4 linked regions of the Rhinolophus ferrumequinum genome follow. The main gene of each other region encodes a partner of the protein of the gene in region 2 in a complex. Links are inferred from orthologs where the notes say so. Each region holds a gene or a part of one and is shown on either strand. Other genes may lie near its edges. The genes, in order: CETN3, NUP205, NUP85 and NUP98.

The links.
Region 1: NUP205 (region 2) and CETN3 share a complex: the UniProt entries of both Homo sapiens proteins name them as parts of the nuclear pore complex. The link is inferred for Rhinolophus ferrumequinum from reciprocal best matches to the Homo sapiens genes NUP205 and CETN3.
Region 3: the proteins of NUP205 (region 2) and NUP85 are in contact, whole or in part, in a cryo-EM structure (PDB 7TDZ), measured with the Xenopus laevis proteins. The link is inferred for Rhinolophus ferrumequinum from reciprocal best matches to the Homo sapiens genes NUP205 and NUP85. Residues at the interface, in XP_041443600.1 of Xenopus laevis: Glu1477, Cys1480, Arg1481, Cys1484, Asp1485, Ser1517, Gly1518, Tyr1519, Leu1520, Lys1521, Val1522, Val1524, Asp1525, Ser1574, Gly1575, Gln1582, Gln1638, Gly1641, Gln1642, Gln1645, Val1648, Leu1690, Asp1691, Ile1692, Gly1693, Leu1694, Asn1695, Asp1696, Gly1697, Ser1698; in XP_041431608.1 of Xenopus laevis: Ala86, Glu87, Glu88, Ala89, Ser90, Gly91, Lys92, Ser93, Arg94, Lys95, Pro156, Pro239, Met240, Gly245, Thr246, Gln247, Thr248, Leu249, Thr250, Glu251, Phe252, Glu253, Leu254, Lys255, Trp256, Gln257, His258, Trp259, Pro315.
Region 4: NUP205 (region 2) and NUP98 share a complex: the UniProt entries of both Homo sapiens proteins name them as parts of the nuclear pore complex. The link is inferred for Rhinolophus ferrumequinum from reciprocal best matches to the Homo sapiens genes NUP205 and NUP98.

The regions. Positions count from the first base shown.
Region 1 is NC_046290.1:59,221,848-59,228,768, reverse strand, and holds the start of CETN3 (centrin-3), read left to right. Parts: upstream 1-3,914; 5' UTR 3,915-4,036; coding exon 4,037-4,053; intron 4,054-6,050; coding exon 6,051-6,186; intron 6,187-6,921. UniProt on the Homo sapiens protein: Plays a fundamental role in microtubule-organizing center structure and function. As a component of the TREX-2 complex, involved in the export of mRNAs to the cytoplasm through the nuclear pores.
Region 2 is NC_046309.1:12,424,664-12,432,285, reverse strand, and holds the start of NUP205 (nuclear pore complex protein Nup205), read left to right. Parts: upstream 1-4,601; 5' UTR 4,602-4,819; coding exon 4,820-4,847; intron 4,848-7,622. UniProt on the Homo sapiens protein: Plays a role in the nuclear pore complex (NPC) assembly and/or maintenance. May anchor NUP62 and other nucleoporins, but not NUP153 and TPR, to the NPC.
Region 3 is NC_046304.1:50,238,512-50,245,355, forward strand, and holds the start of NUP85 (nuclear pore complex protein Nup85), read left to right. Parts: upstream 1-3,828; 5' UTR 3,829-4,100; coding exon 4,101-4,133; intron 4,134-6,844. UniProt on the Homo sapiens protein: Essential component of the nuclear pore complex (NPC) that seems to be required for NPC assembly and maintenance. As part of the NPC Nup107-160 subcomplex plays a role in RNA export and in tethering NUP96/Nup98 and NUP153 to the nucleus.
Region 4 is NC_046294.1:47,376,219-47,383,792, forward strand, and holds the start of NUP98 (nuclear pore complex protein Nup98-Nup96), read left to right. Parts: upstream 1-4,563; 5' UTR 4,564-4,694; exon of another isoform or gene 4,695-4,819; intron 4,820-7,574. UniProt on the Homo sapiens protein: Plays a role in the nuclear pore complex (NPC) assembly and/or maintenance. NUP98 and NUP96 are involved in the bidirectional transport across the NPC. May anchor NUP153 and TPR to the NPC.

The sequences.
Region 1 (6,921 bases), on a different chromosome or scaffold from region 2:
TTAGTAGGATCTGTTAATATTTTCTTATTGCATTAGTCTTCTAGGACTACCATGACAAAATACCACAGATTGGGTGACTTAAACAACAGAAACTTATTTACAGTTCTGGAAGCTGGAAGTTGAAGATCAAGGTGCCAGCAGAGTTAGTTTCTCTGGAGGCCTCCCTCCTTGTCTTGCAGATGGCTGCCTTCTTGCTGTGTCCTCACATGGCCTTTTTACTCTGTGTGCGCACATTCCTTAGTGTTTCTACCTCTTATTTTAAGTACATAAGTTCTGTTGGGTTATGACCTCATGAAACTTAATTACCTCTTTAAAAGTCCTATCTCCAAATACAGTCACATTGGAGGTTCAAAATTCAACATATGAATTTTGGGGAGACACAAATTTGTTAAGAGAAAATGTGAGAATTTTAATTTCAATTATATTAAATGTACAGATTAATCTAGGATATAATCAACATTTTTACAATATCAAATCTTCCTAACTAGGACCTTCTTGGTTAATTTATTAAAAGCTCATGTACTTTAGTATTAGGTTGGTGCAAAAGTAATTGTGGTATAAAAGGTTAATAATAAATGCAAAAAACACAATTACTTTTGCACCAACCTAATAAAATTTTGTGATTTTTCTACCTACTGATCCTACAAATTTCCTGTTAAATTTATATGTAGGAATTTCATATTGCTATTATTTTATGATGTAAATGCTCACTGATTTTGCAAATTTTTCTGAAAACAGCTACTTTATTGAATTCTTTTATCAATTCCAATAGTTTGATACTCTTGGATTTTTCCAGGTAATCATATCACCCACACATAATTTTATATATCATATCTTTTTCTTGTTTTATTACATCATCGATTAGAAGTTCAAAGATAGTGTTGATAACTGCTTTAATAGTGCCTGTGGCAGAGCTGCTAATCCTATCTTATTTTTAGTTATTGATGATCTGACCACAAATTTTAGCAGGGCACATGGTTTTACAGCTAGAGAATTTTTTCCCCAGTCTCCCTTATAGCAAGGAGTGGTCACTAAATCTCACTAATAAAATATGAGCAGAAGTGATGCATGTTCACTTCTTAGTCATTCCCCTAATAGGAAATCCTGTTGAAAACATTTTAGTTTAACATTTAAAAATCAGTTTCCCTAAATTATTTTCTTATGAAACCCATTCTTCATGAAATGACTATATCTCACAAAATTCTAGTATTTCATGGATCAAAACTGAGAAACACTACCATTTTATTAAGTATATTGTTCAATTTAACAAAGTACCTTCTACACCTGGTTTATTAATATACATTTTATTAGGAATAGATGTTGAATATTTCTAGTGCCTTTTAGGACATTGAGATGATCTCCTTAAACTACAGTTATGATTAATTAATATAGACTTCTATTTTGAATTATCTTTGCATTTTAAAAATACATCCTATTTGGTTATAGTTCCTTTAAGGCAATACCAAATTGATTTTTGCCAACATCTAGAATTTTTTACACATATGTTCACTAATTAACATCAAACATGAGCGAGGCACATACAATGGTGGGCAACATGCCCACATTCTCAACATGGAGCATACATTCAGTAATTTTAAATGCTTTTTAGGATGCTAAGTGTTATGCTACCTTCAAAAATTAAGCTAAGATGCTTTCTATCATGCTTTGAGTTTAAAGCACAATAATCAGCTTTTCAAGGATTTTTAAAACTTATCCATAAATCTGACTGGGTTCAATGGATGCCTTTTTATTTTGTGGTACAGAACTTTGGCATCATTTTTTCAGTCTTATCTATAGTTATTGACTTAATTTAGTTTTCTGGTCTTTTTTTTTTTTTTTGAGTCCTTATCTTTGTTTTCCTTGAAAAGTGACTTTCATTTTGATATTAATATTTATTGGCAATATTTCAATAATTTTGAAACCTCTTTTAAACTACCAACCTTATTAATGGCAGTATTCCCTTGATTGTTACACTTCCATAAATGTCAATTTTATTGGTATTGCCAAGAACCATGTTATGAGAATACCCTACACATTTATTAACAATTGTCTTTTTAAAATTTGTGTTCTAATTCGTTTGTCATTATCTTTAGTAATTTCTTCTCATTTCAAGTAGTTGATTTTGTTCTTCACTTCTAACTACTTCAAATAAATACCTGGTTTATTTTCAATTTTTCTTATTTAATAATTTTCTTCTACAGCTTGGTCTATGCCTTACAATTTTACTATGTAGTTTTTTCATTGTCATTAACTTCTAGTGTGTAGAGATGGTCCATGACTAAGATGTTTCAATTCAGGATATTCAAACTTTATGATGATGTGAAAAGTGATGTGCATCCCGTAGAAACCATACTTCAAATTTTGACCTTTTCCAGGGTAACCTATAAGCAGTATGATACTGTCAGGAGGCTGGACACTGGCAGAATTCTGCAGCTCCCAGTCAGACAGGGAATCACGAGGGTAAACAACTAATACTCTACAGTGAACTTCATTGTCAGTGTTTTTTTGGATATCATGTTCTGAGCACAGTTAATGTACAGCAGACTAAGCTATGATGTTCGGTAGGTTACATGTATTAAATGCATTTTCAACTTAACGATACTTTCAATTTACCATGGGTTTACCTGGATGTAACCCAATCAAAAGTTGAGAATCATCTGTAATTGCAATTTTACTTTCCTTTTAAACTCAAAGGTGATTTATAAAGGTACTTTAAAATGTAAAGTTTTCTGCTTTTGTTTTTTTGGGGGGAGGAAGGGAAATGCTTTAGTTATTTTCAGCTTTATTCGATCATACTATCTTTACTTGTTCCAATTTAGCTCATCTTCCTAGGCCTAATATATATGTAATCTGCAAGAAGTCTTTCTTCTACCCTGCCTGTTCTCTCCCTTCTCTAAACCTTTATACATATCACTTTATACGCACACCATGGTGTTTATATATTTTCCCACCGCCCACCCCGCTAGATCTTCACCCTCAGGCTCTTTATTCCTTTGAGATTTGTAATTTAGTTCAGCACTTTGTGAGTTTTCACAGCAAGACTCCACTCAATGAGCAAGTATTTATTGAGCACCTACGTATGCCCCATTGTTAGGCACTGGGAAGAGCATTAAATGAAAGATATAATCCTGGCCTTCAAGAAATTCAGCATAAGAGATGAACAACTAAACATATTAAATACCAAGTGAACTTCGAGAGACTTGGTGTGGTAGGGGAGATAACGTGTACAAGCAGCTTACAGCACTGGAAATAAAGGGCAAAAGTGAACAAATCCGTCCAAAGGAGGAAGGGGGGCAAAAGGGTGTTTAGATACAGCTTCACCGTAAACAGGTTAATAATCCAACACAGTGATTATTCACATATATATAATCCATAGAACCTGCCTCAGAATCACTAGGATAGTTTGTAAGGAGAGAGGGGGAAAAAAAAAAAGCTGATTCACAATCATTGGCATCAGAATGGGGGTAAGGGGCATTTAAATTTGCGTTTTAAACAAACTCCTGTACTTAGGCCTTCCAAGTTTATGGAATACAGAAGAACTAACTTTCGCAGACCTCTTCCCAGAGGACAGCCTGCAGCGTGTCTCTTCTCTTCCCACCCTTTCCTTCCCTCGTCGCTGTCCGTCTTGTCTCCGGACAATCGCCCACAGTCCAAGGCCACCTCCCGCGAGGTGAGGGCCACCCACCCATCCCCGGGACCACCACGCAGGGACTCAAATCCTCGCTCCGCAAAGGATTCGGGGAAAACGCAACGGGCCAATCTAAAGCGCGAAAGAAACAGCTGGAGAGGCCCGCGGAGAGATTTATTTGATTGACGCGGAATGTGCCCAATGAGAGCAGAGGACTAGTGATGCCTCCACCTCAATGGGCATGGCATTAGCAATTTCAACCAATCCGGCTCGGAAGTGTCTACCTTGTGGGAGGTCCTCAAGGCCGCTGAGGTCGTTGGTGTGTGTTGAACAGCTTGTGGAAGTCGTGCTTCTTTGGGTAGGAGGTTAAAGTCGTTCTTGAGAGGAACGTCTCTGTCCGAAGAGAAAATGAGTTTAGCTCTGAGGTCGGTAATGAGGAGGCGGGAATGCACTCCACAGCCCGCAGCGGGCCCCAGGGCGGGTGTGTGTGGAAGGGAAACAGTTTGGGGCCGAGGCGAGGAAGGGGTTGCAATTTGGGAAGAGGGAAAGGAGCCTCGGCCAACCTTCCCGGGCCCGGACTCCTCAGCCTCCGAGCCCAGGTGTGCTGCAGGTGATGAGTCCAGTGCATTTCTGCCGACGTGGTCATACCTGTTAGCGCCTTGGCTTTTGGACCGCCTAAGAGATGGCAGCTGTTTTAGTTCCAAGGAGGCAGGGAAATATCGCGAGGTTTTTAGCGTTTCTGCGAGAAATCAGGCCCTGGAGCATCTCTTCCTTCAGTTCCTCCTTGGTATACGGCCCCCACCTCAGCTGCACTGCTCCTGACATAATGTATATTTTGGAAATAACAAAACTCCTTCTTGCTCTTCTCCTGGGGCCCTGATCTACGGTTATTTGGAGACCCCAATTACCTACATTTCTTGAGTTTCTTTACCTTTCATTCAGTTCCACCTTGTAATCCTCTGTTGGTTGCCCCCTCCCCTAGCCTCATCTACTGGGGAGCCAAAAAATGTATACACATGACTTGTATTTATGTTCAGTTATTGGTATATATTGAGTATTACAATTTTAATACAGTTTTTTTCCTTTCTTAAAATGTGTATACCTTTTTTGGCAACATCTGGAGATGTTTTACCTTAAAAATAATTATATAGTTACACCACTCTTAAAAAGGTGTTGTGTTCTGCTATGGGATAATGGTGGTATATCTTTGGATGGGGTCAGTTGTCTGTCGATTGTGGACTTGGCAGCTTTGAATCGTGGGAAGAAAATTACTCCAGTAATGTTCAAGCTGGTGTGAAGTCTGGGCTCTTGTGAAAGATCTTCAGCTTTATCCTACCTCTTCTAGTCATCTCTTGCCTTTGTTTTTCTTTTTATAGATTTCAGAGAACACCTTCAAATGCGAATAGATCACGTGTTCTAATAAAATCAACTGGGTTTTACATTTTAAAGTTTTATAGAATTTTCTGTTTTAAAACTGCTACAAGTGTTGCAGCCCCATTTGAAAACTTAGAACGCTTAGGTTGATTGGCATCTCTTAAGGAAGACATTTCTGGCTTTTAAATTTCCTTTTAAAAGTTTTTTCCAGAGTTTATGAGAAATTAAATCTACATTTACATGTTAAGTGAGACTTGACCATTGACTCTTCATATTATTATGTAGAATTAGCACAAATTTTATGTAACTTTTGGAGTTTAATAGTAGTGATATCTTTAGACTCAATATTTTGACTTATTTGTTAATGTCGGTGGAAGAAATTATAAAGCGCCAAACTTAGAAATGAGTAATCTAAAAACATTTCTAACCTACAATGCCAAAAGACTTTTTAAGTTAATTGATAAATTACACGTTTTTTGATAGTAATTTTGATAACAATTATAAGCACTATCAAAAGTAAACCAAGTATATCGTGATTGTCAATTATAAATTTTACTTTCTTTTTTAAAAAACACTTTATGTTGTAGAATGATTTGAATAATAAGTATGTTTTTTATAATAAATTTGTTTTTTTGTTGGGGTTTCTGACATAAAGGAATGTTTCTTATTCACAGTTCTTGCTTTGTCCACAGTAACATTTGTGGGAATAAATACAAAGCTAGGAAGAAGGAAAGTTAGGTCCTCATTTTTTATTTTTTAATAAGCTGTAGCATTATTAAAATTTTTTTTAATAAGTTTGGGGAAGTGCAAGTTTATAGCAGCTCAAACTATGCAATGATCAAGGCTTTGACTCATGTAAGGATACTTTATCAGTCTCCAGATACATCTTTTAAGAAATTTAGAAAATTATTCACTGGTTAAATTTTTTGGTTGCATTTTTGAAATCTTAATCATCTACAGGCATTAGGAGAATAGGATTTAAATAGACTAAATAAAGTGCACTAAATAGGATTTAAGTGGACTAAACTTTATTCTTTTCATTTCATAGAAATGAACTTGTAGTAGACAAAACAAAGAGGAAAAAAAGAAGAGAACTCTCTGAAGAACAGAAACAAGAAATCAAAGATGCTTTTGAACTATTTGACACCGACAAAGATGAAGCAATAGATTATCATGAATTAAAGGTAGTAGTATACTTTAAAATGTAGTATATTTTTTTCTGTAAAAATGCTTTGCATTTTTGACAGTTGGTTAAAAATACATTTCTAAATAAGTATTTTAACTAAACTGTTTTGGAAATTTGAAACCCTTTTAAACATTCACAGTTAAGTGCTATAATAAAATTGAATAGTACTCTAACATATTCTAAAATAAACTCCTTTTCATGGTAAAATGAATAGCATTTTAAATGTGAAAAATATATTGCTATGGAGGGGCTTATTTTTTTATTTGCATAATTGAATTTTTTCAAACTACAGGATGTAAGCCGTTTTTACTGTATTCTTCTCCCCACTTTTTTTTTTGAGACGTTCTTTTTTCCAGTTGGGGGAGTGTTATTTATCTTTTAATTTGAACATTTTCGTAACAGTTTCAACCTACCTTCTCTGGTGCAAACAACATACATGATGTGTGATGTTGACCCAATGATAAATGGGGAAAAATGTCTCCTTTAAGGCTTAGAATTACTTATAAAGATAACGGGAAATTAGTGTTTGGGTAGTATGGATCTGACACTCAGCACAGTGAAAAACCTTTTTTGTAGCTCTTTAGCTCTTTTTCCAGCTTTTTTAAGTTTTTCTTTTATAATGTCTCTTTCATTTGTTGCCACTGTTTTTATCTTGGTTTGGGATCTTATTTCATACCTGGAGCTTCCTAAATGGTTTCTCCATTTCTAGTTCATCTTGTACACTACCATTAGA
Region 2 (7,622 bases):
TGATTAGTATATTAATTCGTCTTTATCAGGCACTTATTCATAGCTCATTTTTCCTTTCTTTTATCCCCATACTTTACTCTCATTGTTCTTCAGTCTGATCATCCTGTTATTGCAGCAGAATACCTTCTAAGTGTTTTATGTTAAATTCATGTTATTTCACCAAATCTTTGCAGCAACCCAAGGAAAGTATTATTATTTCTGTGTTAATAAATGAGGACACTCAGGCTTGGAGAGGCTGAATAACTTTCTCATTATCACACAGTAAGTCACTAGCAAAGTAGAAACTTAGATTCACGGCAAGTCTTAATAAAAATCTCTCCTCAACACCAGCAGCATATTGTACCTTATTTTCACTTTCTTCCTGAAATCTCGATGCTTCAATAATGTGCAAAGAGAAGATACAAAATAACCTTCACTGAAGAATGACCGTAAGCCCAATTGAAGCAGAGAAATGGCACACAGGACAGCTTCATGTTAATCTGGAACCTTTCTTAAACTCTTCTTTTTCTAATTTATGTATTAATTTTTGCATTGTTTACACTTGGGAGTATTTCCTATTGTCCTTTGTTTCTGAGTTGACATCATGCCCTGAACAGTGCAGTTTATTTCAATGCTTTCTTGTTCCTCGTCCACAGTTTCGCTTTGAGTATTCTTCTGATGGGATGAATGCACTACTCCTTCGTCACACACAGAATTCTGCTTCCCTCAGAACTCCTCACTCTCCTTCACACTCTCCCCGCCCAAGACCGAGCCAAGTATTCATACTAATTCCCAGAGTACTATCCAGACTTTTTTGGATCAGATAAATTGACTTAGCCACCCGTACTTTTACATTCATTTCCCTGCTTTATGTCTTGCACCATTGTGGCACATACCTCTGTCAGGACCAAAGTTCCCACATGGTTTTCAACCTCTCAAGGCAGTTCAACCAGCTAATTCCTTAGCTGGAGCCCTGGTGTTTTTATAAGAGGAAACATGGAGTATCATATCCTCTTTAGGTCCATCAGAAAAAGAGAAATCCAGGCTGCTGCTTCTAGAGTTTTCAGGTACTTGCAAGAGAGATGGTTTGTGAAACCGTCTTCCAGGAGCCCACAATATAGTCTGGCAATGGGTAGGAGACAGGAGCTTGACCTTTCCTCAGCCTTATTCATTCAACAAACGTTTACTGGCTACCTTTGGGTACCTCTACTTTTCTATGTGGAGCGTTCAGCCCAGAGGGAAAAAGTGGTGGGAAATTATAATGCATTATGGGAGAGCATAGCATTTAATCCAGACCAAAGTAAGGGGGTCGGGTAGGGGAAGGTCATGCCTGAGAAGAGTAACCAGATGAAAGGACTAAAGGTATTCTAGAATGAGAAGCTAGTGCCAACAAAGATTTAGAAGGAAGGAAGATGTAACTAGCATAGCCAGAGGGACATACTCCATGAAGAAGGGGGGCTTCCCTGGTAAAAGGCTCGGGGAGCTGGAGGGGCTGAATGTTTATGTAAGTACAGTAGTCCCCCCCTTACCTGTGGTTTTGCTTTCTGAAGTTTCTGTTACCTGTGGTCAACCACGGTCTACAAATATGAAATGGAAAATTCCAGAAAGAAACAATTTATAAGTTTTAAACAGCCGTTCTGAGTAGCATGATGAAATCTTAATCTGTCCTGCTCCTTCCCGCCCAGGAGTTGAATAAAACCTTTGTCAGCATATCTTGGCCCATTAGTCACTTAATAGCTGTCTTGGTTATCAGATCAGGTATGAGAGAGAGAGACCACATTCACATAACTTTTATTACAGTATATTGTTATGATTGTCCTATTTTATTATGAGTTATAAGTAAGTTAATCCTTACTGTGCCTCACTTATAAATTAAACTTTATCATAGGTATCGTATATATAGGAAAAAACAGTACATATAGGGGTCAGGACTATCTGCGGTTTCAGGCATCCACTGGGGATCCTGTGAATAAGGGGGGGAGTACTGTACCCCCAGTTAGCACTTATTTTGCCTTCGAAATCATTTTTGTTATTTAGCAAACACATATATAGCACTATGTGTAGGATTTCGCTACGTGGTGTCTCAGGGCAGCAAAACAGCAAAAGTGGACACAGCCAGCCCTCTTAAATTCTAGGCTCAGAACTTGCCCAGTGTAACTTGCATTTTTTTTTTTTTTTTTTTTTGGTTCAAGCAAGTCATAAGGCCCACCCAGATTCAAATGTGGCAGGCGATTACAGCAGGGCTTGAATTCAAGGACATGTAATTCCTTGGGGGCCTTTTAATGACAATCTTCCATAAGATGCTAACAGTTTTAGTGGGAAGACGATCATTAGAGCACATAGGGCTATAACAGAGTGCAATAGGGATGTAGGGAAATTGGTTGTGGGGAATCAAAGATAGCATCAGGGAAGCAGCATTAACACAGGCCCTGAGACTTGGAAGACCATCATTGTGTTTGGGAGGTTAACTTGGCGGGTGGTCAACAGAGGATTGGGGAAGGGAAGGAAGTGCATTCCAGGCAAATAGAACGGCAGGTTCAAAGGCATCAATACACCATACCAGAAAGCATGCTGTACTTGGGGAAATAAAAATAATATTCAGAATGGTCAGGGTAAAGGGCACTTGAGAAAGAGTGAGGTGAGGTGGTTGAAAGAGGCTGAATCTCATCAGAAAGTAGCATGAGTGTCTTGCTAAGAAGTTTCAGATATTACCCTTAGGTAATAGGTCATTGAGAAATTTGATCAGGGCAGGCACATGATGTGATTTGTGTATTTGACCATCACTTTGGGAATCCATGAGAGGGAGATGAGATGGAAGTCAGTCAGACCAGTGAGAATACAATTGCAAGATATCAAGTAAAAGAAGATGAGACCCGATGAAAACAGTGGCCTGGGCAGCGGAGAAGAGAAAAAGTGTCCCAGAAATATTTATGAGGTAGAATGAATAGGATTTGGCAATTGAAGAAAGAATATAGAATGACTCCCAGGTTTCTGTCTTTAGCAACCAAGTAGATATAGGTGGTAGGGTTCTAAGAGAAAAGTGCTCTTAAAGTTTTGGATTAATTGATTGTTTTCGAGATGGTTATGTGACAATCAGTAGAGATGTGGGGTAGACAAGTTGGATATACAAATCAAACCCAGCAAAGAGGACAGGGCCAGATACAAATACAGAATTCATCAGTAAATAAGTGGATTTCCATAGAATAAAAAGAATATAGGCTGGGGATGACTGAAAGGGAAGAGCTACATTTAATGGTGAAAAGAGAAAGAGAAGTTCCTGTAGGAAACTTAAAAAGAAGAACTAGAAAGATGGAAGGAAAACCAGAAGTTGTGATACTCCACATGTCAAGGGAGAGAATGCTTGTAAGTGTGATGATGGGTGAGAGTGTTGTAGGAACTTTTTTGTTGTTGTAGAAACTTAAAGAGTTCCTTCATAGAAAGCGAAGTGAGCTACGAAGAGGGACGTGTGTGGGCTTAAAAATATGTGGAGGGGAAGGCTTGTAATAGTTGTGCTGAGAAAGAAAATCTTTGAATGCCACTTCCTGCCAAGTTTCTCCTCAGTAGTCTTCTCACTTTCACGCTAAACTTCAGGAAAAATCTCTTTGCCTTTTCACTTTCTCTCACCTTCACTCCTTAAAACTATTTCCGTTGTAGTCTGGCATTTGTCTCTACATAACAATGACTTTCAAAAACTCATCAATGACTTTTGTGTACCAAAATGTCACTTAATATTATCTGTTCAAAAGAATGAATATACCTGATATTCTTAATAACATATTCTCTGATTTTGTCTAAATTACTTAATTCTGATTTCCAACAGTAAAATGGGAATATAAACTGTTTTCTCCCAACCTTAGTGGAATGTTGGAGGAGTAAGGCACATGGAAATCTGAGCTAAGTAGCTATAATTAATCATCTTCCTAATAGGATTATTTCAGGGATTAAGTGAGATAATGAACTAATAATAATAATACAAAAAATATATAAAATATGTAAGATACAAAATATAAAATAATGTATAAAATATTACATATAATAGGACTATTACTATGTATTATTATAAGATAATGTAAAATTCTCAATAAATATCTGGCATGTGATAGCAAGTGGTAATGACCATATTTTAGTTTGAAAATTAGCAAACTAAAATTTAGCAAGTGAAAAAGGAAAGTACAGTTATATGGGAGTGGTTAGGTAGAAAAATATTTGGTGTTTATGAAATGATATGTCTGTAAATTGCTTCAAAATAAGCTCCCATGTTGGGGCTGGGATATAGGATTGGGTCCTGCTATTGAAGCTGGGCGTTCACTGTTCTAATTTTGGGCACAGTTGAAAATTTCATAATAAAAATTATGATTTGTTTCATTTTGATTTGTTTCACCCTGTAAGGCACCTTACCCCCCCACTCTCCAAAGTAAGGGAGTAATGCCAGGAATATTTAATTCGAAATAGAGATAATGATTTGAATTTGTGGCTTTTATAATATCATAAATGGGCGTCATTTCAATAACTAGTCTCAGAACATCTTTTTGTTTCCCCTAACCAACTTTCTTCATCATTAGAAACTACAAATCCCAGGATGCACTGCACGAGTAACGTCAAATCAAGGACCTCGCATTTCCCAACTGGTTGCCCTCGCTTTATTTGAATGGGAATAATCCCGGCGAAAATTGACGTATGTGACCCAGAGCAGATTTTTCAATAGTTGTACGCCTGAGCCGGTCGAGGTGCAATTCGGAGTGGGCAGCGTGGTATCTTTCTGTTCAGGTGGCGCCACGGGCAGCCTCACCCTTTTCTGGGGCTTCTGTGCGGCGGAGGGCTCCGTTAGTGCGCCTCCAACATGGCGACGCTGTTGGCGGTAAATTCGGGTAAGTGTGGCGAGGCAGAAAGGAAACGGGGGCAGGGCAGTGATCGGTTCTTCAGGGAGACACCTGGGCCGTGAGGTTCCTTGGAGTCCAGGCCCCCAGTTGCGCAAGTGCCCGCTTCTCACTAGGTCTGGGCCTAGCGTCCCTCCCCTCCCCGGTTTGAATGGCGCGCGTCGGCGCTGCGGCTCTAGCCCTCGAACTGGGGTGTGAGGGTCGCGAGGCACGGAGGCTTGGTCCACTGCAATCGGGCGTGCAGTCTCTGCCAGCCCAGGGCCGCGCGTGGGCCTGCCCACTCCGCACCCCCCGTTGTGTCTACGGCCAGGATCTCTCCAGGATTCGCGAGTCTCGGGCAGTGAGGCCGGAGGACCTGAGATGTTTCAGCCACGAGCGCAGGCTGACAACACGCACCCCAAACTAGGCACTGGGACCCTTCCTGGAGATTGGGGGGGTCCTGCAGGAAGCAGGATTATGAAGCCTGCAACCCGGAAGGTGGCCATGAAGATGTGTCACGGGCTCAGCAAATGACTCCCAGTTCCCTGGATGCTGCTAGACCTTTGGAGCGGCAGATCTTCGGGGCGGGGTAGAATCTAGAAGGTAGTAAAGGAACTCTGAAACATTTGGGGTGGGTTCTCTTCTGGGGATTCTCGACCCGGGGCGGTACCATCCCCCTGCCCCATGGGACTTTTGCAAACGGGTGCATTTTGATTGTCACAATTCCTGGGATGAACTGTTGGCGCCTAGTGGGCGGGGCAAGGATGCTTGAAAACGAATTGCTTGCTCAGCAGGTCAGTTCCTGCATTGAGACGTATTTAGCTTCCTGGGCACAATTAAGAGCCTATCTGTGTGGTAAATGCTTGTAGAGAATCTCACTCAAGAGGACTCTTTCTTGCGTGCCTTTTCTTTTTCTGCCTCCATGCAGTCATTTTTGTTGGTTTGTTTGTTTTTTTGTTTTTGGTGTTGGCTCTTTCCACAGGACTGATATTCTTGAAAAGTTGTCTAAATCTAAGTTTTATAATAATGGTGATGTTTATCGAGCACCTGCTGTTTCCCAGGCACTGAACTCAGTTGTATTTTCATCTCCTTTAGACCTCTTTGTACTCCTATGGGGTAGCTGCTATTAAATACCCCATTTTACAAATTTGGAAGTAGAGGCTTAGAGTGGCTAAGTAATTTCCCTAAGGTTATACAGCTAATGCTTCTAAGCTAATTTTTGATACTTAAGCTACTATATGCTACTACTCAAACACAACCTAATTCATTTTGTTACATCAATTTTTCATATATCTGAATGTTATTAATGAAGTTACTTCCTTAATACCATGTTTCCATGAAAATAAGATCTAGCCGGACTATCAGCTTTAATGGGTCTTTTGGAGCAAAAATTAATGTAATTATGTTAGATAAAACCCGGTCTTATATTATGTTAGATAAGACCCGGTTTTATAGTGAAATAAGATCGGGTCTTATATTAATTTTTGCTCCAAAAGACGCATTAGAGCTGATGGTCTGGCTAGATCTTATTTTCGGGGAAACACGGTATTGCTGCCCCACTCTCCCACCCTGATGCAAACTTAAAAGTAAGGCTTGCGTGTTATACGTGTGGTTATATACATTTCTTTAGTACCTACTCATGCCATTAAACATAAATAATTGAAAGAAAAAGGAGTTGTCAACAGCCACAGAGAGTATACATTGTATCAGGCCTTGTGGCAGGAGTGTTTAATTGGCAACATAGAAAGGAAACATTTTTAAAAACCAAGAGTCAGTAAAATATGTATTTAAAAATTAAACATCTTAGGGAAGCAACCCAAAGATGGATGAGTGGATAATCAGTGTGGTGTATACATACAATGGAATATTATTAGCTTTAAAAAGGAAACCCTGTCTCATGCTACAACATGGGTGAACCTTGAGGACATTCTGCTAAGCAAGCCAGTCACAGACAAATCCTGTATGATTCCACTTCTATGAAGCATCTAAAGTAGTCAAACTCATAGAAACAATGTTGGTTGCCAGTGGCTGGGGGAAGGTGGAAATGGGGAGTTGTTGCCCAATGGGTATCGTTTCAGCTTTGTAAGATGAAAAAGTTCTGGAGATGTGATGTACAGCAATGTGAATGCATTAACACTACTGAACGGTACACTTAAAAATGTTTAAGACAGTAAATTCTGTTAGGCTTTTTATTTTTTTTAACCACAGTTCCAAAAAGTCAAACATCTTAAGAATTGTATTAGGTTGGCGCAAAAGTAATTGCCATTTTTGCAATTATTTTTAACCTTTTAAACCGCAGTTACTTTTGCACCAACTTAATAGAAGGGGAAAAATACAGAGGTTGAAGAATTCTAAGACCTATGCTTAAGACCTTGAGTTTTTGCTGCATGATTTTCTAGTGTTGTGACTTGTATCATCCCGGCTAAGTAGACGTATAGCTTGTTGTCAGTACACAACTATTAACACTACTTGACAGTCTTTCTGTGGCAGTCTGTGGACCCTGTTCTGTTCACAACAGTGACTATTTGAGACCTTTTCACACTCCTCAAATTTTTAACTTCCAACCCACCCCTCGGTCTCCTAGTCACAGAGCAAATAGAAGCCAACAGGCCTGAACTCTTCTTTTTCCCCCTTCAAACCTACAAGCCTACATACATCTGCACCCTTTGAATCAGTTTCCCTGTCTGTGTCTTCCTATTTAAGGTAAATCCTACCCTTTCTGCCCTTCTCCCTGTTGTATATGCGTCTCTTGCTTGCTCCTCTTCTTTCCACTCACCTTCCCTCTTT
Region 3 (6,844 bases), on a different chromosome or scaffold from region 2:
TAATCTCAGCAAATAACTAAGTCCCGAGAGCTGGTGATCAATAAGAGTTCACTGACTTATTGATGCAATAGTAACATAGTCCTTATCATGAGAATGCCAAAAATGCCTAAATTAGGGTTTCTGAATTCCTGTTAGTTATGTAGTCTTTACATTGGAATGATGATTTCAAGTTCTTCTAACCCCATTAATGCTCCAATCTTACTTCTCTGTCCATTACTAGATTCAAGTAGGTCTCAGTGACTCAAGGATGTTTGTTTCATAGAATGAATGAGAACAAACTGAACTAAGCTTATATTCTGCAGCTGTGCCAAATATAGATAATATTTGCACTCTTCAAGTTCTTGTGATTGATTACTCCCCACTGAGGTAGAAAAGATAGAGTTGGAAGGATGGTTCTTAAAGGATGGTCCCTTGGGCAATATCACTTCCACTTAGAAAGGTCAGGAGGACAAATACCTGAGCCCCACCCCAACCTACTGAATTAGAAGCTCTGGGGACAGAGCCCAGGAATCACTCAATTAATGGTTTAACAAGCCCTCTAGATAATTATGAAGTTCCCTAAAGTTTGAAAACCACAAGGCTAGAGCAGCTTTTACACCTTCAATAAGAAATATGTCACATATTTCTCAACTTGAAGTCTCATGTGGCCAGATATACATTAGTAGGACTATAAAGCAGGTTTTCACAAACATGGTCTTATGTAGTATCTCTATATGTATTAAAAACTTCAATGAAACATTTTTTAAATAAAAATTTTTACTTCATATTCCCATAACACCTGTCTCAATTTTATTTTCTAACTTTTATCCACACGTAAATTTCTTTACATTAATTGTCGAAATATACAATTTTTCGTTTGCTCTTAAAAACTGAAAATTATGTGGTAAACATGCCTACTTTTTCTGATTTTAAGAGTAATAATACTCATTTCTGCCAATCTTTTTCTCTACATATTATTTTTTACAAAATTGATAAAACTTTTAACAAAATTTTACTACATTTTACCTTTATAAAATTTTGCTACAGTTATCTTTTAATGATTGCACATTAATTTTAATGATTGCTGTGAGACTTTGTTTTTTGGTTATTCAAAATGTCCCTCTTATTTCCTAAAAATACAATTATGGAGACAAAAAGGTGAACATTTTAAAATTTCTTGAAAGACTTTCCCATATTCTTATCAGTCTTCATAGTTCTTCTCAATAGGTGAATATCTCACTGATATATTGTCTTCCTCTATTCCTCAATGGATGAACATCTATGACAGTTCTTAGCACGGGTGATTTTACCCCTAGGGGATACTGGGAATATCTAGAGACATTTTTGGTTGTCAACAATCATTAAAAGGTATGAATGGTATCTAGTGGACAGAGGCCAGGGATTCTGCAAAACATCCTGTAAGGCACAGGACAGCTCACAATATAGAATTATCAGGCCCAAAACGTCAATAGGGTGGGATTTGAGAAATTTTGTTGTTATCTATATAGCACTTACCAAAATTCACATACCTTTTGTGTTTTGAAATTATTAGAAATAAAAGTTCAAGTGAGGACTTACTGGATCAAAGTGCATAAATATTTCTATGGCTCCTGATAATAGATTTCTACCTTGTTTTCCAAACTTATTATGTCTCTTGAAATGATTATGTATTTATTTCTCTGCAGGCTACGGAGCATTGGTTCTACTAGAATGAATTAAATGCATCCAATTAGCACTTTACATATGGCATATCTCTAGCACAGTTCCTCTGGCTTCATCTGAGAATGATTCTAAGTTTGACTTTGGAGTGATTTAAAGTAAGTTCTAGTTTGACTCTTGTGCGATAGGTATGTTTTGTTTTAGGAGATTTTTGATTCCAGAAATATTATACTCTTTCTGTCTTCCTAGGGTTCTGATATACCTCAAGTTGAAGTGTCTCCTGCATGATTGAAGACTCTCCAGAGTAGATACAGGAATTCCAGAGTTAAACAACCACTCTAGGGAGAGGAGGAGGGAGAGTGAAAGGAGGGGGATAAAGGGGGAGAGAAGGAGCTTGTGAAGAGGTTAAGAGAAAAAGATTTGTGTACTGGTTATTTTTTTTTTTCCCAAATGTATTCCTTTAGGCTCATCTGTTAAAAAAAAAAAAAAAAAAAAAAAAAAGGATAAACTACTTCATTGAAACCCCATTCTTGGAAGACTATTGAGAAGGACCAGAAGGAAGAAAATGATCTATGTATAGAATAATAACTCTATTAGCTGTAGTTTTCTTTTTTTCCCCAATTAATGAATGTATTTGAATGATTGTGTAAGGTTGCTTGTATATAATGGTATTAGAACAAAGAATAGTTTCAATACTTTTTTCCAATATTATCTATCGCTAGGTCAGTTTCAATACTTCTGTTATCTTCAAATGACATTATGTCAGTCTTAAAATATCAAAAAACTATACTACTAAAATTTTCTAAGCTCCTTTGTTGTTCAAATTATTTTTTTCTCAGGTCTCCTTTAGAGAAGATGGTTTTTCTTTTTGGTCTTTCATCCTATTATTTTTTTCCTTTCCTTCTACTCATCCTGTTCCCCAGAATAATTAATAATTTTCTCTGAAGGAAATTAGGCATATTTTCTATCAGTGTCTTAAGCTTTGCTTTAACTTCTGCTGCTCAAATAATTTTGAGTCGCCAGAGCAGATATAATAACTAGTTTTTTTAAACTGATCTATTTGCTACTGTTTATTTTACTTTTGTAAAATATTAGGCCTCTTTTTACCTCTTAAGGATAGGGACATAAATGCATAATTTCTCATACTTCATAGCCACACTATTGGTGCCAGAACACTTGGATCAGTGAAAATGTGAAACATTTGGAAAATGCACCAAGCTATAGATGGTAGAAGTGTGGAGTTTTGTGCAAAACTACATTAAATGTCATCCTATTGATGGCTGTCTTAAGAGATAAGGATTTGGATGAAATTGTGATAGCCACAGGATTTTCCTTCCTGAATTTGTACCTAAATAGAAAAAACTGTTGGTGTGAGATTTTCCTAACCACTCCAAGTCATCTCATTTCAACCAATTCAAATAGGTCATTCAGAGTAATCTCAGGGAAAGAACTGTTTCCCCGGGTAAAAAACTGAAACTTGATTTTCAGATCAAGTATCTTTCCCCAAAAAAAGAAGCTGTTACATTTTCAGGCACTGTTTCCTAAGACTTATTTTTTAATTTCGAATTATCTTCAGTTAGTTAAAAAAAAAAAAGTGCTTATTTGGGAATGTAAAACCAGCACTATTCTCTTCTGTGTGTGTGTGTGTGTGTGTACGTATTTGTAAATATGGCATTTACAAAATAAATAACTCCTTTAAGTTACTAGAGCACTAGTAACTTAAATGAGTTTCCCATTAACAAGACCGGGATTCTCTGACTGTGGTTTTTTTTCCTTTTCCTGCTTTTCTTTGGTGAGATAACAAACCAGTATTTGTGTTGAGTTAAGCAAGCCCAGCTGTCCCGATTTCACAGTTGTCGGGCTGCATCACTTTTGTCCGCGTGCTGCTTGAGCGTTTTGGGGTGGGAGTTGGCAGCGACTGCCTCCGTCCACAAGCCCGATAGACCGGGGATCCCTTGCCCTGGACACCGCTCACAGAAGCGGCCGAGACAACACTGAGCTGCAGACTCAGAAGCCGCAAGGAAAGCCAGAGTGGGGACAGGCGGTACGCTCGCTCGAGCCCGGCCCCCGCCGCCTCTCCACGCAGAGTGGCCACCCCAGCCCGCGCACGCGCAGCCGCCCCGCCACCGCTCCCGCCGTCTCCAGGGGCTTTCTCCCCGCCCCGCGTGGGGCTGTCCCCGGCGGCGCCTGATCTGGCGAGAAGGTTCCTCTGAGGATCGGCTGCCCCTGGCGCCGGTTTCCCTGACGTGTTGTCGAGGCCGCGAAGGAAGAACACGAGTAGAGTGCCGTAGAGGGGTGGCCGTGGCCGAGAGGAGACGCCCCTGCAGCGTTGGTGATCTGGGCCTGCAGGCAGTGCAGGAGGGGGCTCGGGTCGGGTCCTCTCTTGCAGCGGCTCTGAGCGGGAGGCCCGAGCCGGGAGCTGTGCTGGCCTCGCGACCTCCCGGCAGCTGAGCTGCGGCGCTATGGAGGAGCTCGATGGCGAGCCGACAGTCACTGTAAGGGCGCCCCAAAGAGCCTGGTTTGCCCTCGCGGCCCAAGGATTGAGTCTGCTTCATCACTGCAGGCTTGTCTACCTCCCTGCCTCCCGGGAGGCGCCCGCCCCCTTCTCTCAGCTCAGTTGCCACCATCCGGAGGTCACATTAATTAGCTGCCCGTGTTTGGATCGCAGTGGTCGCTGGGTTTCTGCTGCTTCGTATGCTCAGAATACCTGGCCCCAGAGGCCTCACTCCGTCCCTCTCCCTCCCTCGTCTTTGCGCCTTTCTATTCCGCTCGCTTTTCTCGTTGGGCTAATGCTCTAAAGAGCGCGCTTGGACTCGGCAGAAGAATTGGGGCTTTTTTCCTTCCAGCCGAACTTAGCTTCACATCGCAGCGCCGTGAGCTTGGCTTCTGCTTGTGCTGCGCTTGCCTAAGGTTTACTAAACGAATTTATTCTCTCGGGGGACTATCTCCTTTTTATATTTTGCTTTCAATTTGATCTGAACTCTGAAGACAGTATGTCAACTGCTGCAGATCCAGGATTTTAAAAGAAATTCATAGCCTGTAGATATAAAATACCTACCGTTCCCCCTGCCTGGAATGCTCGTTTCTTCTCTCATCTCCAGCTCGTTTTTTAAATGCAAGCTCCGGCAGCTTGTGTCTTAGGAAAGCCTTCCCTAACCTCCCTAACTACGTCCGACACCTCTACCCATTGTGGGCTGCTTCTGCACGTCTTAGCTCTGGAAGCCCCACTAAACTGAAAGTTGCTATACCTTGTGCTTTTGCTTTCTAGATAGTTGAGATGCCTACAGTTTTTAGCCAAAGACATCAGATTGCAAAGCAGTGTCCGACAATACAAAAAATTGAAAATAGGGGTCATTTCAAAGCTGACTGGACAAAAGGAGGCATGAGATCTTAAATAGCAATTAACATGGGTTGTTATGCTCTTTAAAGCTTACTGCTGTAGAATGTTCCAATTTAATACCTATACAGAGTACTTTAAATATTAACTATCCATCAAGGACTGTGTCAGTGTTTGTGGGAAGACAAATTAGAACATCAGAGTCACTGGAACTTTTTCAAACTTTCCCTCTCTCACTTGTGTTAGACTCCTTGGGTCGGGGGAGCCTTCCTAGTACCCTGTGGTGCCCTGGAGAGCCACTGCTTTGATACTGTGCCTTGATAAAGAGCTTCATTACAGATGGAATGAAGATGATCTCAGCTTACTTATTTTTATACCCAGTAGTGATGATGGACTTGTGATAACCCCAGCTCTATATTCGTGCTGGGGAGACCAGGTAGAAAACTGGTTGGCCTCATGGGCACACACAGGAGGGGCATTGTAGTCCAGAGTCTGAAGCTCACCTCTGCGAGTTTAAACGCTGTCATGTCTGTTTTTGAGTGTTCATCTGCCTTTGGGGTTTACTCTAAACACATTCTCAAGAGACTGATGAATAATTGTGAATACCATTAAGTCACCCTTTATGGCAGTTGTATCCGCTTTTCACACAACTGCTCCCTATTGTCAAGGCACCTGAAGTCCAGTTAGTAACTGGCAGATTCGAGGATATTTAAATGTAGATTCAAAGTAGGTAGAATAATCTTGAGTAGTTTTTCTAGACCACTGGTCTTCTTTTCCTTTTGGTTCAAGAGCTCTTAAAAAGTGTAAGTTACAGTTTTCATTGTCTTTTTTGTTTTGTTTAATTCCAGATACATACCTAAAAGGAGAATTGCTGGGTTATAGGACAGATGCATATTTAGCTAAAATAAGCTCAGTTTTCCAAAGTGGTTGTACAGTTCTTTTTGCAGCAGCAAAGTCTGAGAGTTCCAGTTGTTTCTCATCCTCATCAATTCTTTGTATGATCAGTCTTTTTAATTTTCATTTCCATTCCAGTGGGTATTTAGTGGTAGCTCGTTATTTTCATTTGTATTTCCCTAATGAGTATCTTTTCACGGGCTTATATGTCATTTGTATATCTTCTTTGGTGAAGTGTGTGTTAAAAATCTTTTGCCCATTTTGTTACTGGGTTGTTTCACTAATGAAATGTAAGAATTCTTTATATATTCTGGATATCAAATACGTGTTTTGCACATATTTTCTCCCAGTCTACGGCTTGCCTTTTCATTTTCTTAACAGTATCTTATGAAGAGCAAAAATTTTAATTTTGTTGAAGTGCAGTTTATACATTTTTCTTATGCTATAGCTTATGCTTTTTGTGTCCTATATACATCTTTGCTTACTTTCAGGTCAGAAAGATTTTCTACTATGTTTTTCAAGTTTTATAGATTTTGCTCTACATTTGAGTCTGTGACTAATTTTTAGTGAATTTTTGTCTATGGTGTGAGGTTCATTTTTGCATATGGATACCCATTTGTTCCAGCACCATTATGTACAAATAATGCTTCCTCCTTGCCCGCCCTACTCATCCAATACGAGTCTGCTAAAACAGATTCTGTTCTGTGTGTACCTCAGACTTAGCATACTTCCCCTTTTCTGACTGCCTGTTTGTTTATTGGTCTCCGTCAGGAGACCACTAGCTTTTGGAGGACACAGACTGTGGTACACATTGTTGTATTCCTAGAGCCCAGCACAGAAAAAGGCTTAATACACATTGCTTAGTTGTTGAATGACCGCGTTAGCCTTTCCTAAGAACTGAATGCACTTAACTTGTCTTGAGACAAGACTATTGACGAGACTATTGCCAGCCAAATTCGTTGTCTGCCTAAAGTA
Region 4 (7,574 bases), on a different chromosome or scaffold from region 2:
AGGAATGAGGTACTGATGTACAACATGGATGAACCTTGAAAACATTATGCCAAGTGAAATAAATCAGACACAGAGACCGCATATTTATGATTCCATTTATATGAAATGTCCAGACTAGACAAATCCATTGAGACAAAGCAGATTAGTAGTTGCCAGGGGCTGGGGAAGGGGGAGTTGGAGAACGACTGCTAATGGAGCTGGGGTTTCTATTCATGGTTACGAAAATGTTCTGAAATTGGACAGTCGTGATGGTTGCACAACCTTGTGAATATACTAAAATACTAAATATACTAAAAACCTCTGAATTGTACTCTTTAAGTGGGTGAATGTGAATTATATGTGAATTATTATTATACGTGAATTATATCCTCATGTTATGTGAATTATATCTCAATTTAAAAAATCTGACAAAGATCTGGGTTTCAATAAATGGCAATTATTATTATAAATAAATAAATAAAGGAGAGGAGAAATCTGGTCAATATGGCGGAGTAGAATCTTAAAAAAAGAAAACAGTTATTCTCATAAACTAACGCAAGTGAGAAATGTGAGGAGGAAAAATAAATAAAGGAGAGGCAGAAAAATAATTGAAAGGACAGTAGAAAGTATAAAGTGTTAGATAAAATCCTGAATATACCAGTAAATTCATTAACTGCAATGAACTAAATGCTCTAGTTAAAAGTCAAAGGTATTGGGGCTGGCCCGGTGGCTCAGGCGGTTGGAGCTCCATGCTCCTAACTCCGAAGGCTGCCCGTTCGATTCCCACATGGGCCAGAGGGCTCTCAACCACAAGGTTGCCGGTTCCATTTCTCGAGTCCCGCAAGGGATGGTGGGCAGCGCCCCCTGCAACTAAGATTGAACACGGCACCTTGAGCTGAGCTGCCACTGAGCTCCCGGATGGCTCAGTTGGTTGGAGCACGTCCTCTCAACCACAAGGTTGCCGGTTCAACTCCTCCAAGGGATGGTGGGCTGCGCCCAGTGCAACTAGCAATGGCAACCGGACCTGGAGCTGAGCTGCGCCCTCCACAACTAAAATTGAAAGGACAACAAGTTGACTTGGAAAAAAGTCCTGGAAGTAGTACACACTGTTCTTCAATAAAGTCCTGTTCCCTTTCCCCAATTAAAAAAAAAATTTTTTAAAAATCTTAAAAAAAAAGTAATTAAAAAAAAAAGTCAAAGGTATTCACACAAGATTTATAAAAATACATGCTATTTGCAAACATCACCCTTCACTATCAAGTTATAGGAAAAGAGGAAGGAAGTCAACATTTACTGAGTGCTTACTATGTGCCAAACATGTACCCAGTCCAGTCCTTTGCAAATTCCATTATCTTATTTGAACTTTACAACCACCTTATAAAACAGGAATTACTGTGCCCATTTTATAGCAAGAAAACTGGGGCACAGAACAATTAAATAATTTGTGCAAAGTCTAAAAAGTAGCAGATCTGGCAGTTGAACTTAGCTGTATGACTCCAATTCTGCTGCTCTTTCCAATGCACCATGTAAGAAATCTAGAACCATCCCAAGGAAGTGTCTTGCCCTTCCATGATTCTGCAATCTCTAGAGGACTATCTCCTCCCTGAGCTCCAATTCCTCATTGCTGCATAAAGTGAGTTCTCAGGGCATGTATGTGAGAGACTGGGGGTTCCCAGGACAGAACTGGCCATGGCAGAGTTTTGAGCTGTGGACATCTCTGGGCTACTGATGCCAAAACAGGGCTTGGCTCCACAAGCTTTTGTGAACATACACCAAACTCCATGTCTGTAGAAGTTCTTCCCTGGGCAGAAATCCCTGAGAATGATGAGCTTGTGGGCCACATGCCTACAGAGTACCTAACAAGAGTCCTTCACTTCGAAACCACCATGTTCACAGGGAATTCCTCCCTGGAGCATTCCTCATCCAATTCGTCCTCTTCTCCCTCCAGTTTTCCCGCAAGTATTTAAGGGTCCTAGGTCTTGCACACCCACTAGTACTTTGGACTGAATGTCCTCACTCCCTCAAGACATATTTCTGAGCCCCTTTTCTAAGAATCATGTCTTAGACTAATTAGAATTCCTTGACATTTTTAAAGAATATAAATAATATCTACCATTCACTGAGGGATTACTGTGTACCAGGTACCTGATAAGTGCTTTATCACATTTAATTCTCACAATTACCCTGTGGGGAAAGTAGGGTTATCCCCATTTTTACAGACACGGAAACTGAGACTCAGAGGGGTTAAGAAATTTGCCCAAGTTCATACAGCTAATACATGGTTGGGCTCAAATATAAACCCAGGCTTCTCCAACTCAAAAATTTCACACTTCTATTTTTCTACTTAAGAAAATAATTCACTCATTCATGCATCAAACATTTAATGTGCGCCTGTACTGTGTGTTTGGCCTTAAGGACACCAGACTAAATACCGTGTTTCCCCGAAAATAAGACCTAGCCAGACAATCAGCTCTAATGCGTCTTTTGGAACAAAAGTTAATATAAGACCCGGTATTATATTATATTATTATATTATACTATATATTATGCAAGACTGGGCCTTATATTATAGTAAAATAAGACCAGGTCTTATATTAATTTTTGCTCCAAAGGACACATTAGAGTTGATTGTCCGGCTAGGTCTCATTTTCGGGGAAACACAGTAAGTAGGGGAAAGGTTTGGTTGGGTTTGAGGATTGAAAGATGACAAATCAAAGGTTCAGAAGGGCAATGAGGAAGCTATTGTAACTATCCGGGGAGAACTGATGACTTTCTGATGCAGCACATAGGTAAGAGAGGGTGGAGGAAAAAGAGAGATATTTGGGTGGAGGAGTTGGGGGAAGGTGGTTGGAGTCAGATATTCAAACTAGTTTTACTATTCGACACTCCACGTATTTTTTTCCTTCTTCTTTCAAGCATCTACTGAGCACCTACAAGGTACCAGATTTCTCCTATCCATTATCTTATTTCATCTTTATGACCACTCCACTGTTTGACAAATTAATCAATTATCTCCAATCTCTTGCCACCACTGAAAACCCACAGGGATTTAAGGTCACCTACTTTTGGGCAGAGCCCATTTCAATTTTGTATTGATGCCCCAGGAGGAGGCAGGCGGTGGTGGAGAGGTAAATCAAGTAGGCTTTCTGAGCACAGTCGGTGCTATTCTATGTGGGACTCTCAGTCACTAGGCCTAGTTTTTAGAACATGCTCAACCCTCCCCTTTGTAATATCAGGCTTCTGCACCAGGCTTGGCCCAAGGGAAAGGAACACCAATATTAAAGAAAAAAACCATAGGCCCAAGATGGCATCACTGATGCCAAAAGCCCATAATACCAAACCTCGATTTAATAATTGATCTAATTGTATTTTCAACCTCTCCTAGAAACATGACCTTAATCAAACCACTATGAAAATTTCTGGTCAAGCACCAGTGAGGTAACCTGTCACACAGGCCCTCTCCATCCTCCATAGAAAGGAGTAATCTACATAATAAAAACCCTTCCCCTTCTCCTCCCTCAAAGAAAAGATGTCAGAGCCCCAAAATAATCCTTACTTTTGCTAATAGCTCCCTTGCCTCACCCTTCTTCCTATAAAATCCTTCCATTTGTACAACCTCTCAGTTGCCTTTCCAGTTGCTAGATGGGATGCTGCCCAATTAATGAATGGCTTAATAAAGCCAATCAGATCTGCAAATTTACTTGGTTGAATTTTGTTTTTTAACACCAAGATGAAGAAAATGCAGCTCTGACCTCCAAGAGCCGCGGCACAGAAGACAGGAAAGTAATAGGATACAAAGTGACAAGGCTGTAACAGAGGCCTGCCCAAGCATTAACCCAACTTGCTGAGAGAGATTCAGCGAATGTATCCTAGAGAAGGTGGGAGCATTTGAACAGAACTTTAAGAATAACTGGGGATTCCTAAAGGGCAGGTGGGAAAGAAGTTCCAAGAATCCTCATTTGTACCAAGTTTTTTGCTGAACCATCCCCTTAGGGCATCTCTGATGCTCATAACATCTATTCTAGGGATTCCGAGAGGGAAAGGTGCTGGGGCTTGCGTGGGACAGGAGACCAGAAGGCCTGGTTTTAAGGCCTCGGAGCAGCTGCAGGAAAGCTACGCGGGCAGTCAGAGTTCCCAGGGGGGCCCTCTAGCTCTATAAGAGGTCTGGCCAAGAAGTGAGGGAAGGACGACCGGGAAACCTTCCCATCACCGCCCACGGATTGGGGCAAGGTGTGGGTAGAATAGTTACCATGCCATCCTGGAGCCTTTCCTCTGATTGGCTGGAGCTTCAGCAGCGGGTCTCTTCGCTCCAAGGAAGTGGGCGGAGCTTCGATAAGCGTCACCGCTCTTCTCCCACACCCCGCCCAACGTAGCCACTCACCAGCCCACTTCGAGGGGCCCTGTGTTACGTCACGACTCTCTCCCAGCCAACGGCGGCGGTGAGGGCCAGAGCTCCACGTCCCTCCCACCAACCCTCCCCCTTCCTCCCCCTAACTTCTTAGGCCCCTCCTCTTCCTCTTCTCCCCTTCTCTCAAAGACCTCCCTCACGTTGGGTTTCAAAAGAGTCGTTGCCCAATGAGTAACAGGGTGGGCCTAGAGTGGCGGCGGCGTTTGCCAATGCTCAGGCAGCGAGGGCGGAGCGCCCGGAGCGAGCCTCTGACGGCGGGCGGCGTGTGACGCAGTCGGGCCCACTGTGCGCTGCGCCCGAAGCGGCGGTAGGTATCGGCGGTGGCAGCGGCGGCGACGGTTTCGTGGCAGCCGCGCGCTGCTCGCTGAGCGGCGGGTGGTGGACGGGCCTAGGCCCTCACTCTTGACATTTCCCCTCCCCCACCGCACCACGGTAAGTCGGTAGTCGGGGCGGTGGCGGCCAGGGACCGGCAGGCTCCTCCTTTCTTCAGGGCGGGCGGTGCGCCGGGCGTCCCAGGGCCTCTCCGCGCCGAAGTCTCGCGCCCCGGCGGCACCTTCTGCCCTGAGGGAGGGGGCGGGGCCCGCAATCCTGCGGCCGGGAGGCCCGGCTCTTCCGGAACTGGAAGGGAATCGCTCTTGGTGGGGTCTGGGTCCGGGGTGTCTCCGGTCGCAGCCTACGCTGAGGGAGCGTCCATCAATCCAGGCTCATTCATTTGCCCGGCGGTGACTAGGTGGGCCGGTCCTTAGCGGGAACAGCGCTTTAACACCAGGAATATGGTCTCCCTGCACTTCCTTGACTGTTGTGTGGGATGGGCTTTATTTGCCTTGTCCTCTCCTACAGGAGACATTTGCAGCCCCAGGGTTGGGGTGGGTGGGTCGGGAGTTTGTTAGCTTTTTAAAACACCCGAGAATTAAGGTCGGTTTAGTGGAGTAAAAGATTATTTTCTGGCCTCCCACGTGTTCCATGTAAAGCTAGATGAGAAGAAAGATGGGGTTTCTGGATTACTATAATATATAGCCATAAGGATCTTAGAAATTAAGCCCATTTCCCTACTTCATATCACGTACAGGTTTTACAGATGAAGAAACCGAGGCCAGTGAAGGGACAGAATTAGCCAATTCCAGATCTGGCCCAGTCTAAAAATATGTCTACTACATCACTCTCCCTTGGTGTTCCACTTTCCATTATGAGGACTCCCTTCGGTTGTAGGGGTGAGGGACGGGGGCTGTCGGTAGTTAGAAGTAGGTACAGTCTTCAGTAGCGTTTCCGACTTAGTTACCACCAGCTCTGTTTGATTAGTGGTACCCTAAAACTAGACCATGAAAACTAAATTTAAACTTTGGTTAAAGAATGCTAGTAATGTTATGTATTGGAAAAACGAATCGGTAAAACCAGAAGTCATTGGCTAGTTTCCTGTTCCAAACCTAAAATTTTTATTTGTAGCAGCTGCAGGGGACTCAGAAGAAAGTGTCTGGTTAATGACCCACAGCAGTATTGGAGTAGAAAGCAGGAAATATAGCTGAGACTTAGAAAGGCAGACAGTCATTTTGTAGTTCTTGTATCTTGAAACTCATGGCTTCTCTCTGGTACAGAATTTAAAGTTTTGTAGTAGAAGAAGGTAAGAAAAATTAAACTCCGTTTTGGAAGAGGAAACTAACTAGAAGAAAGAAAAGAGAAGTAAGCGGTCCCTGTGACAGCCTTATAAATTCAGAAAGAAATGCTTGTGAATTGGGTGACAGATGCTATGTTTATTTGGTGGAAGAAGTCAGGATATTTAAAACACAAAACCAGAAGTTGGACAGGATGGAGGTACTGGGGAATACTTTGATAAAAGTATTTTTTGACTCTTCATTAAGATTTGATGAAATTGAATTTGTTGCTGCTTTGGTCTGTTTACATCACTCGGATCACCACTTTGCTCTTGTTTAGATGACAAAGCAAAAACTGAAAGATAGTGTGTAAGAGCAGAAGAGAACTGTAGTCTAAATACTAAAATGTGAACAAGGTATATTTTCTGTGACATTTCTCAGTTCAAGCATCACCCTATTCTAGGAAGCCTTTCCTGGCATTTTCTCCCCTGTAAGCTTCCGTAACACTTGTTTGATACTTTTATTTATAGCACAAATCATTTTGTGTTTTAGCTGTTTGTCTTTTTATTAGACTGGTAAAATATTTTTGTCTTTGTATTCAGGTTGACACATAGTAGGACCTCAGTAAGTGTGTTTGCTTGAATGAATAAATAAATACGGAGGAGTTAAACCTAAAAATAGTCTATAAAGAGGTTGGGTATTTGTGTGCTCCTGAAATGTGGGGCCCAGGTTAGAGTTCACATGGTACTTTGGTACCTGACCTTATTCACGTCCACTAGCACCTAGATAGCTAAGAGCAAGTAGAACTTTTAGGGAACCAATTTAACAGCTTAGGAAAAATAAGTTATTTTTATTGTGATATTTTTATGGTGGTAATTAACCTAGGAAGTAAGGGGTAGTAGTGCTGATGTTTAATTTCAAATAAAGAGCACATTTATAGTTATGAAATCTGTTGAAAGGTTGAAGGATTTAGAGATTTAACAATAAGTATTAGAGCCAAGTTATGTAAACATTTCTTGACAATTTGGTGCATTCTTTATGTTTGGAATTGAACCTAAATACAGTAATTCCTCATGTGGCATCGTCGATAGGTTCTTGGACCTGCAGCAAAACATTGTATAACGAAACCAGTTTTACCATAGGCGAATTGATATTAACAAGAGTTCCAATCACATCTCATCAACGTTATAATAAAATGACAATGTTGCGTGAAATGATATTATTGGAGGACTTGCTGTGTTCAACATAGTGTGTCTGTAGAACAAGGTTTCTCGGCCTCGGCGCTTAGCACTTTGGGCCGGATAATTCTTTATTATGAGGGAGCTGTCTTGTGTATTGTAGAATGTTTATTTAGCAGCATTCCTGGCCTCTGCCTATTAGATACCTGTAATACCCCCTCCCCAAGTTGTAACAATCCAGAATGTCTCCAGACATTGTCAGATGCCCCCTGGGTGGCAAACTTGCCCCTGATTGAGACCATTACTCTAGAGAAAACATTCCCAATATTTCCGTAAAATCATATCTTTATGGTGCCTGGTGTATGCTTGTAAAGTCAGCTAATAAGTTGTGTTTCGTTAAAATTGTCCTTGAAAAAACCT